2 linked regions of the Caenorhabditis elegans genome follow. The protein of the gene in region 1 purifies or fractionates together with the protein of each later gene. This does not show direct contact. Each region holds a gene or a part of one and is shown in the gene's direction. Other genes may lie near its edges.

Region 1 (4,236 bases):
ATCTCTCGTACAGGCTATCCGTGTTTTGTTGTAGATCGACTGGGAGAGACAGTGTTTGTGTATGCTATAAATCTGTAAAGAAACATCTCTGACCAAACGAAGGATTATAGAAAAAAACAAACCTAGAAAAAAACAAACCTAGAAACCTTCTCAGGACAGTCCTTGTGTAGGAGGACTGCCTCTTATGGGGACTTTGATGTGATGTGCTCCAAGTGATAACATTATTAAATTAAACCTGTGAGAATTCGATGAAAAATTTTCTTCTATGTTTGATATTTCATTTGCTTTGTTCAAAAAATTGAGATGAGACAAGTTTTATGCGTATTGTTTTAGTGCAGAAACAACATAACTTTTTAGCGTCTTGTTCTTGAGTTTCAGAAAAAAACCGGCAGAAGCAACTTCTACTCGACTTCAGCTACACAAAAGACGATTCAAGGAGGGTCAAAATGTTTGTTAATCATAGAACCTTCCAGGAGTCGACAGAAAAAACACGGGGAATGGTAACTAGCAACTGAATGAGCACGGAAAAATTATTATGTTATACCTACAATGCCTATAGTTAATTGGAAGTTTGAGCACAAATACTGCATTTTAAAATAGTTTTTCCCTTCTTTATTACGGAAATTTGTAAGACCATTATTTTATATGCAAATCCGTTAATATTTTCAAGCCTATGAAGCAGTCTTTAAGGTTTCAAATACCGTATTTCCTCTATTAGTATTGCACCCGACTACTTAACTTTGAAACGTTATATCTCGGTTCATTTTAAAGATATCAATATATTATTAGTTACAAAATTATAGAAAAAGAGCTAATAAATATTTTGTTAGTTGACAATTTTTGAATAAGGCAAACGATAACTGAGATATAAGCTTTCAAAGTTGATGTGAAATTTAACATTTTCTATTCCATTCTTTCCTTGTCAATAAATCCAAAATAATTGGAAAAAAACCTCATGAAACAGCAGCAAGATCCATTTTTTGACCAAAGTACCCTAGTTTCAGATCGATATACCACTGTAATGGTCAACAATCGATCGGAATGTCAATTGACAAACAGATGCGTACACCTAAACTCCGCCCAATTGTCGTAGTTGCTCTGTCAGATCGACAGTACACATTTCTTATTCATTCATTCATTCATTCATTGTACCAGCACACGAAGAGGTTGCTCTTTTCTGATTTTGTTTCATGTTTGTTGCCAGTTACCGTCTTGGTAATTTATGATTTTTTTTGTGATTTTTCAAAAAAGAAGTCGTTTTTAATTGTCTATCAAACCTTTTTGAACTCAAAACTCCTATCAAAATGCAAAGAAAATAACTTTTAGGGCAGAAAACCCTCTGAAAAACAGTACATCGTACATTGACAATACTTTTTGCTCACTTTGTTCCATCCTTCATAATCATGTTTAATTCACTATCCTCAAATTTTGCTGTAATTTTTTCTGCCAACTCTTGGGAAATTCCGTGAATTTCAAACATTCAGAGTCTCTTTATGTACACTATTATCGGAAATTGAAAAGTGAGCAAAAAGGGTTGTCGATTTGCTGGTCCCTCCAGGTCCATGAAATGTCTCAAAATTGCCACAAAACGGACAAATATCATGCCGATACTTTAAAAAGCCCGGAATTTTTCACAAAACGTTACAAAACGTATGTCTTTTGGGAAGTTCAAAACGTCTGAAATCGTTCAAAAAATGTAGAGTTTCTTGAATTTCACAATTAACATTCCTTCAATTTTCCTGCAAATTTCTTGCCCTCATGTCCACTGTGAGTGGTTGAAAAAATCAAAAATCCCTTAAAAAAGCATTCCTACAATCATTTTCCTTTTTTCCCTCATCTAATTCTGAAACTTCACACTTCATTTTCCAGAAACATCTCCAACAAGCCATGTACCCTCAATACCCAGCTCAACCAGCTCCAGGCGTCAGGCCCATCATGTGCCCAAGACCATTGCCCAAGTTTGCAATGGGAAATTGTCCCGTGACAAGAACGCGAACAATCGGTGTTCAACGATTTGGTCAATACTACATGTTCAACAAGCATCCGGCGTCACCCAAGCTGGTCCCACACAAGTGTCTTCAGTGTCAAGCGAGAGTCACCGAAGCGGATCTTTATCCTAAGTACTCGGTGGTCTGTAATAAGACCTCGACGCTCGTCATTTTTGTGCACAATGGGATCACGAACAAGATCGAGCAGTACGCCTATTCTCACTCGACTGGCGGGTTCGTGGAGGTCAGCTTTCCGGAACTCGTGTACAACCCGAGCCTCGTCACTCATGGTAACCTGGTCGTGGTTATTAAGGGATTAAAGAATGAGAATATTGTGATTGAGAGAGATCTTAGAGGTGGAATCAGAAAGCAATCCTCACATCTTGGACCATTCCAAGCGATTCCACCGGTTGTTGTACGTACTCTTATGATGCAGGAGATAGAGAAGGGTATAGATGTGACTGGAAACCCGGAAAACCCAGATTCTGCTGTAGAATCTGATTATGATTCCGAAGAGGACGATGAGGATGAAGATGATGAGGATGATCTCGACGTGGACGATCTCAACTACCTAGATTCTCTACCAACTTTCAAAGTTAGGATCTGCCAAGCTAGTCAGAAAGAGGTTGTATGTGTGATCAACAGTTGTAATGGAAACTACATCAAGTACATTTACAATGACCATACCGGAAACTTCGACTTTTACCAAGGTACATCTAAATTTGAAGTCACTGAGGATAGCTTGGTGGCCAAGTATTCCGAGTTTCACCAAGGCTTGAAGAAGTACGTTTTTCATGTTCATAATTTGGAGAGCAACCTGATGGAGAAATATTATTATCAAGCGGAATTCAATTCCCTTGTTCAAACTCATTGTAATGATCTGATTTATGATCCCGCCAAGATTACCCAAAGTCATGTTCTAGCAGTAATCAATCGGAATGATCTACCACAACCGGTTGTAGAAGTGATTGTTAGGAACTTGTATGGAAAAATTCGAAAGGAGATTCCAGAAATGTATGGCTTCATTCAGACACCAGTTACTGTGAAAACTTTCATAGTTCAAATGGAAGAGGAACGGAGAAAGAAGACAAAAATCATCTATGATAAGGTTCAATTGGCGAAGAAGAAGAATAAGGAGATAAAATTGAAGAAGAAAGTTCTGGAAGAAGAGGAAAAAACTGAGAAAATGATGGAAAATATGACTCTAGAGAATTCTGAAGATCAGTCTAAGAAGGATGAAGCAACAGTGGATGCTGAAATTAGAACGGAAGAAAGCGATAATCCTTTCAAAAGAATTCCGGTAATCGATGCTCAAAAACGACTTATCGATGCGATATTTCAAAGGCAGATCGATTGTAATATTGAAGACAGTGAGAAGCAACGGATCAATATTGACATTCAGAGAGGACTTAAATGGTTTCAAGAATGCAAAGAAGCAAGGAAAAGGAAAGAAGCTGAAGCGGCACAGAAGACCTTGGAGCAAAAGCATAGAGCAGCACTATTGACCTTCAGGGAAAGACATGATGATCAATAAATTTCGATAATTCTTTTTAACTTTTCATTGCTTTTTGTTTTTTTTTGTTTTTTTTTGTTTCTTTTTGTAATCAGTTTTTTACCAATAAACTATTTATTTAATATTTAGTCAATAGTTAATAGTTTACAGAAGCAAAAATATAAGAGGTATGCTCTATCAGCGGTGCGCGCACGTGGTGTTAGGCTGTCCCATTACGGTTTGATCTACAAAAAAGTGCGGGAGTTTTTCGCCCAAAAATATGTGACGTCAGCACGTTCTTAACCATTCGATATCAGTTGAGAACTCTGCGTCTCTTCTCCCGCATTTTTTGTAGATCTAAGTAGATCAAACCGAAATGAGACACTTTGACACCACGTACGCACGGCAAACAATTTTGTTCCGGAAAATCGGCAAATTGCCGGAATTGATTTTTCCGGCAAATGGGCAAATGGACAAATTGCTGGAATTTCCAAATACCGTATTTCCTCTATTAGTCTTGCAGCCTCTATTAGTATTGCATGCAAGACAAATAGAGGAAATACGGTGATAGTCTTGCAGCCCTATTCTTACCAGACCAGCAGGATTGTTGTGAAAACTTCAACAATTTTGCCAAATTAAATTTTAAAGTGTTTAAATAATTGATAAAACAATAGAAAAGTATATATTTTGCACAATTTAGACTGTTTCAAGTCAAATTTGTGACGATAAATGATCAATTTTACAAAGCTATTGGAT
Region 2 (4,865 bases), on another chromosome or scaffold:
TTTTAAAAGTTCATATAAAGGCAAATAAATATGTTTTTAGAAGTTTTCCAGATTTTTAAATCAAAACGAATTTGACTTTAAAAAATTTAAAAAATTTAAACAATACTCAAAATCAAAACACAATGTACGTAAGAGTTGGCGTGTTCAAAATGGCCTACTAAGAAACATTCTAAAACCATGGAACTATGTTGAAGTCCTCTTTTCCATTTTTTGTCTAGTTTTGCAAACTAAAGCTAACGACGTCATCACTGTCAAGTTTCCACGAAAAAAATCTGAACTTTTTTTTGGAAAAGACTCATAAGAGAAGTCTCTAAAACGGCTTTAAAAACAAAATAAAAACAAGAAAATAGTTCTAAAAATGGCGAAAATTGCTGCCCGGGGAGTTGATGATGTTGGAGAAATATTAGAACTTGTTATCGCCCTTTAAAAGAAAAATTCAAAAGTTCAATTCTCAGATTGTTATGAAACTTTTTATACTTGTGAATATCTCTTGGGAAAAGACATATGCTGAGCCTAATTGTCCTGGCAGGAGAAATTTCGAAAGATGAATCACTTTTTTGTCTGAAGGAGATGACCTACTGGGAAAGCGAAAAATATGATTAATTGGTAGAAGTTTCGAGAAGGAAAATGTGAAAATGAAAAAGGACAAGATGAAAATCTATGGCTCTGGGAATTTTTGATTTGTTGGGGTGAATAAAAATTGAGTTAACTCCATTTCAAATTTTTTATAACTGAAACGAAGAATGGCCTCTTTCGAGTGCTCAAAAGACCTATGAAATCATTGTTCGGAAACCGACACTAAAGCTGCCAACTTCCAAATAAAGGTCGTGGTTGCCGAAAATTATGGAGTTCGGAAACTTTGACAATTATTTGTTTAGAAAACTCAGAAAAATTCAGAATATGTTGAATCACTCTTTCAGATAAAAAAAAATCTAAAACAAAAATCTCCTTTCAATCTAGAATCCCATCTAAAACCTAAATAATGAAAAAATAAATTACTTGACTCAAGATGAAAGATTAAAGAATAGCGAACATGGCAAATCTCTGAAATCGCATAAATGTCTACAACTGAAAAATGTGCCCAAAAACAAATAAAGTAGTAGGTAGCGGAAGATGAACAAGAAGAAAACCTTCCTATTCACAAAATTTGCCTGCTTTCCAGTTGGTCTCCAAAGTGTTATTTATGTCACTACTCCATTTCTTTTGCATATTCTATGAATTTGGAGAAAGGAGTCAAATTCGAGCTGTTTAGAGCCAAAACAAGTTAAAAGTATTCAAACATGATCTGCACTCGTTGTGGCTTAATAATTAGTACAGGGCCGGCCATAATTGTATATAAACTTTTGTTTTCAGGGCTACTACTCAGTTTAGCTAATGAGGTATGTAGTTAGAACAGCCTTATAAATTCTTGAAACAAAAAAATCGTTTGTAGACTTTTTCTTGCCGAAGTAGGCTTCGTTTAATATAGTTGTTCTTGAGTTATAAGGATTGCAAGATACACTGTTAAAAAAAAAACCCGTGATATGTCGCAAACTTCTGCCATAATTCTCTTCGTCAAATATTCTGATACTATAAAAATGAGGGCAAGATTATGAGCAAGAGTTTGAAAGCCAAAAATCTTTTTTCAAGTGTCTAGCTTCGAACTCATTCAATTTTATGCCAAATAAAGTTCTGAACACGACGTTTGTACACAAGGTTTGCTCCAAAAGAGCGAGCCAATAAGTAATCACGTTCTTATGCCAGGAAAGTTCAGCCACGCAATGCCTTCTATTTTTTAAAAATAAATTCCACGTTATTGAATATTTTTCAACAAAAACACTTTATTACTTCAAATATTCTTTATGAATCCAGTGGATTTTATCAAAAAACCAAAAGAGAACATAATGTCGAAGTGAGTAATTTTTACTTCATTTAATATTAATAATCTCCCAATTTCAGAGATCAATCTTCAATGTTATTCTTTAAAGATCCGGAGAACAAAAATAAAAATCATGTGTCACATGTTGAAATCGGAGTTCCTGATCCAATCGAGGAACTGCAAAAACTGCAAAATCGTCCAGAACCATGCACCGTTCTAGCTGTCATCACGACCCTGGTCATCCTGGTGCTTCTCATTTTTGCTCTCGGAGCGCTGGGTCTCCATGATATTTCGGCGTTTAAATGGGAACCAAAACCCCAGAAAGCACTGAGAATTATGCTGGATCTACCGTGTCAAACAAAGGAATGTGTAAAGTATTCAGCTGAACTGGTAATGGTTTTACAATATATAATCACATTACAAAATATTTTCAGCTTGAATTGATGGATTCTTCGGTGAATCCTTGCGAAAACTTTCATCACCACGTGTGCAATGGCTTCAATCCAAGAAAGAAAGACTTTGAGAGACTCATGAAATTGATCAATATTCAGGAAAAGCCTGATCATCGAAAGGCAGTTAATGTTGTGAGGAGAATGTTGAGCAAATGTGCAATGGGAAAAACTGAAGAGATTCATCAAGTTGGACGATTGAGGTAGGCAGTGGACTTTAGAAAACCTCTGCTGACTCAAGAAATTTTTTCAGCTCAATCATCCTCCCTGGTCTTCCATTCCCGCTTCTCAACAACTCATGGACAAAACCATCTGATCCTATTTCTACTTCAAATTCATCCACGACATACAGTTACCCATTCCTTACAAAAATATTGGCTCATATCATACTTCACAACCCCGATGATGCTGGATTTGTAGGAATCAAACCATCAAGTGACTCTGAATTCTCGTTGTTCGTCGTCAAACCGTTCTCACCTGTTCTCACAAACTTTAAGTTTCGGAATATGTACGATATTTTGAAGCGAAATGCACCGGAGAGCTCCACAAACGGAATGATAGATCTGGAATTCGATAGACAAAGGCAGCTGAATGATGTGATCAAGCTTCAGACAAAATTGGAAAAGGTAAAAGTTGAAACGTTTAAGTAGAATAATAGTAACAAATTTATCTCAGATCGAGTTCAAAGCTGACCCAGAAGTCGTTAATCTGACTGAGATTCAAAGACAGATGCCAATAATTGATTGGAAGAGACTGATTGATTCCTGGATTCCGAATGGCTATGCTCACCTGAAAGAAAAAGTATATGGCTTCAATACCAGTTATTATGAAGAGGTGAAACATAATTTTCTAAAAATATCTAACTCTTTTTTTTTTCAGATAAATGCGATCATCTCATCTACACCTTCTGAAACTATATACAACTTTCTTTTTCTTCGCTTTTCGTTCAAATTCCTTCGAACAGAAGTAGCATCTGATCTGGAAGATACTTGTCTTCATCAGCTGTCAACAACCATTCCTGGAAAAATTGTGCTCTATGGATCCGAAGAACCGGAAGCATTGAACCTTCTAAATGGAATGCTCCACACAATTAAAGATCAACTGAAAAGATCGTTAGCTACATTGAAATGGATGGACAGTCGAGGAATCGAAGAAGCACAGAAAAAGTTTAATAAAACGAAAACAGTTTTTGGATTTACTGGAGAAGATTTGATTGATGAGCTTGTTGGGAAGATAACACCGGAGTCCAATTATATATCAACTCTTCAAAATGTTCTTCTTTGGCAAACCAGAAATATGTTTAAGTCTGTCGCAGAAAACAATGTGACAGTGTTTTTGAATTCGGAAGTTTTCTATTCAGTTGAGAAAAATGAAATAAGTAAGTCTTTCTCTGAAATTCTAAAAAAAAAGAAATTTCTTTCAGCAATTTCACGAGCTCTTCTCCATTATCCTTTCATGTCTGCAAACCTTCCAAACTATACAAATTTCGCAACTATCGCGTCCAAAATTCTTCCCCAAATGATACACATTTTCGATGAACGTGGCAGGTTCTACGATTCGGACGGGAATCATCGTAATTGGTGGAATACTGAAACAGAACGATACTTCCAAATAATAGTACAATGCTTCGATGGGATGATGGTAGGAAAAAACAAATTAGTTCAAGACCAATAAGTTATTATTCAGCAAAACGTCTTTGGCGTCAGCGTCAGTATTGGATGGAATGCTTATGATTCAACTAAAGAACCATATGCCACGCTCCCAGGAATCCAGCAATCATCAGATGAAGCTTTGTTTTTCTACAGCATGGTGAAGGTATGCGGTCTAATTAGTAAATTTTAACATAAAACAGTCGTTTCAGACAATGTGCACCTCGGATCCGGATAACGTGAATGAAGCTCTAGCGAGTGTTCCACAATTCAATTCGGCGTTTAAATGTAACAACGGAACAAAGATGAACCCTCCGACGAAATGCAAACTGGCTTCATGAGTACTTAGTTTTCAATGAATGTGTTTTTATTACATAATAGACTAACAGCTTAAAAAGGAGTCGTTAACATTATAACAGATCATCATTCAAACTCGGAAAGACTCTCCGACTAGTCTTCCCATCCGGTCTGGAAATAAACGCCAAGGCGATTGGAAGAAGCGAGGAAGTTTCATTTTTTTTGTGGTTGGCAGTTTACGAAAACTGCATAATATTGCGATTTTTCAAATAGTTCAAAAAATGTTACAGAAAAGTGGGCTTAGTTCTAGAAATTTCGATCGTTTTAACCAATGTTACACTCGGTTAAAACAATTATCAAGTTTCATTAATAATAAATAAGTAAACTTTCTTATTAGCAAAAATCATCTTCCTAACAATTTAATGAAACGTGACACTTTGAAAAATGCGAAAATTAATATGAAACATTGAATAAACAAAAAACACAACAAATCGATTTTCAATTATTTCGTTTTTTTACCGATTACAAAAATCGGAATCGTTGAGAAAATGGATTCTCAAAAACTACGCACAGAAGGAACCCGAGTGATTGACATCGTGGCTGATTATTGGT

The links.
Region 2: the proteins of sdz-30 (region 1) and nep-5 fractionate together in Caenorhabditis elegans (co-fractionation; one large-scale study listed by BioGRID). This does not show direct contact.

Annotation. Positions count from the first base shown.
Region 1 is NC_003279.8:13,305,164-13,309,399, forward strand, and holds sdz-30 (SKN-1 Dependent Zygotic transcript), read left to right. Parts: upstream 1-1,887; coding exon 1,888-3,522; downstream 3,523-4,236.
Region 2 is NC_003280.10:5,486,310-5,491,174, forward strand, and holds nep-5 (NEPrilysin metallopeptidase family), read left to right. Parts: upstream 1-1,834; 5' UTR 1,835-1,841; coding exon 1,842-1,891; intron 1,892-1,938; coding exon 1,939-2,248; intron 2,249-2,292; coding exon 2,293-2,510; intron 2,511-2,560; coding exon 2,561-2,933; intron 2,934-2,982; coding exon 2,983-3,141; intron 3,142-3,186; coding exon 3,187-3,685; intron 3,686-3,730; coding exon 3,731-3,948; intron 3,949-3,993; coding exon 3,994-4,122; intron 4,123-4,168; coding exon 4,169-4,297; 3' UTR 4,298-4,329; downstream 4,330-4,865.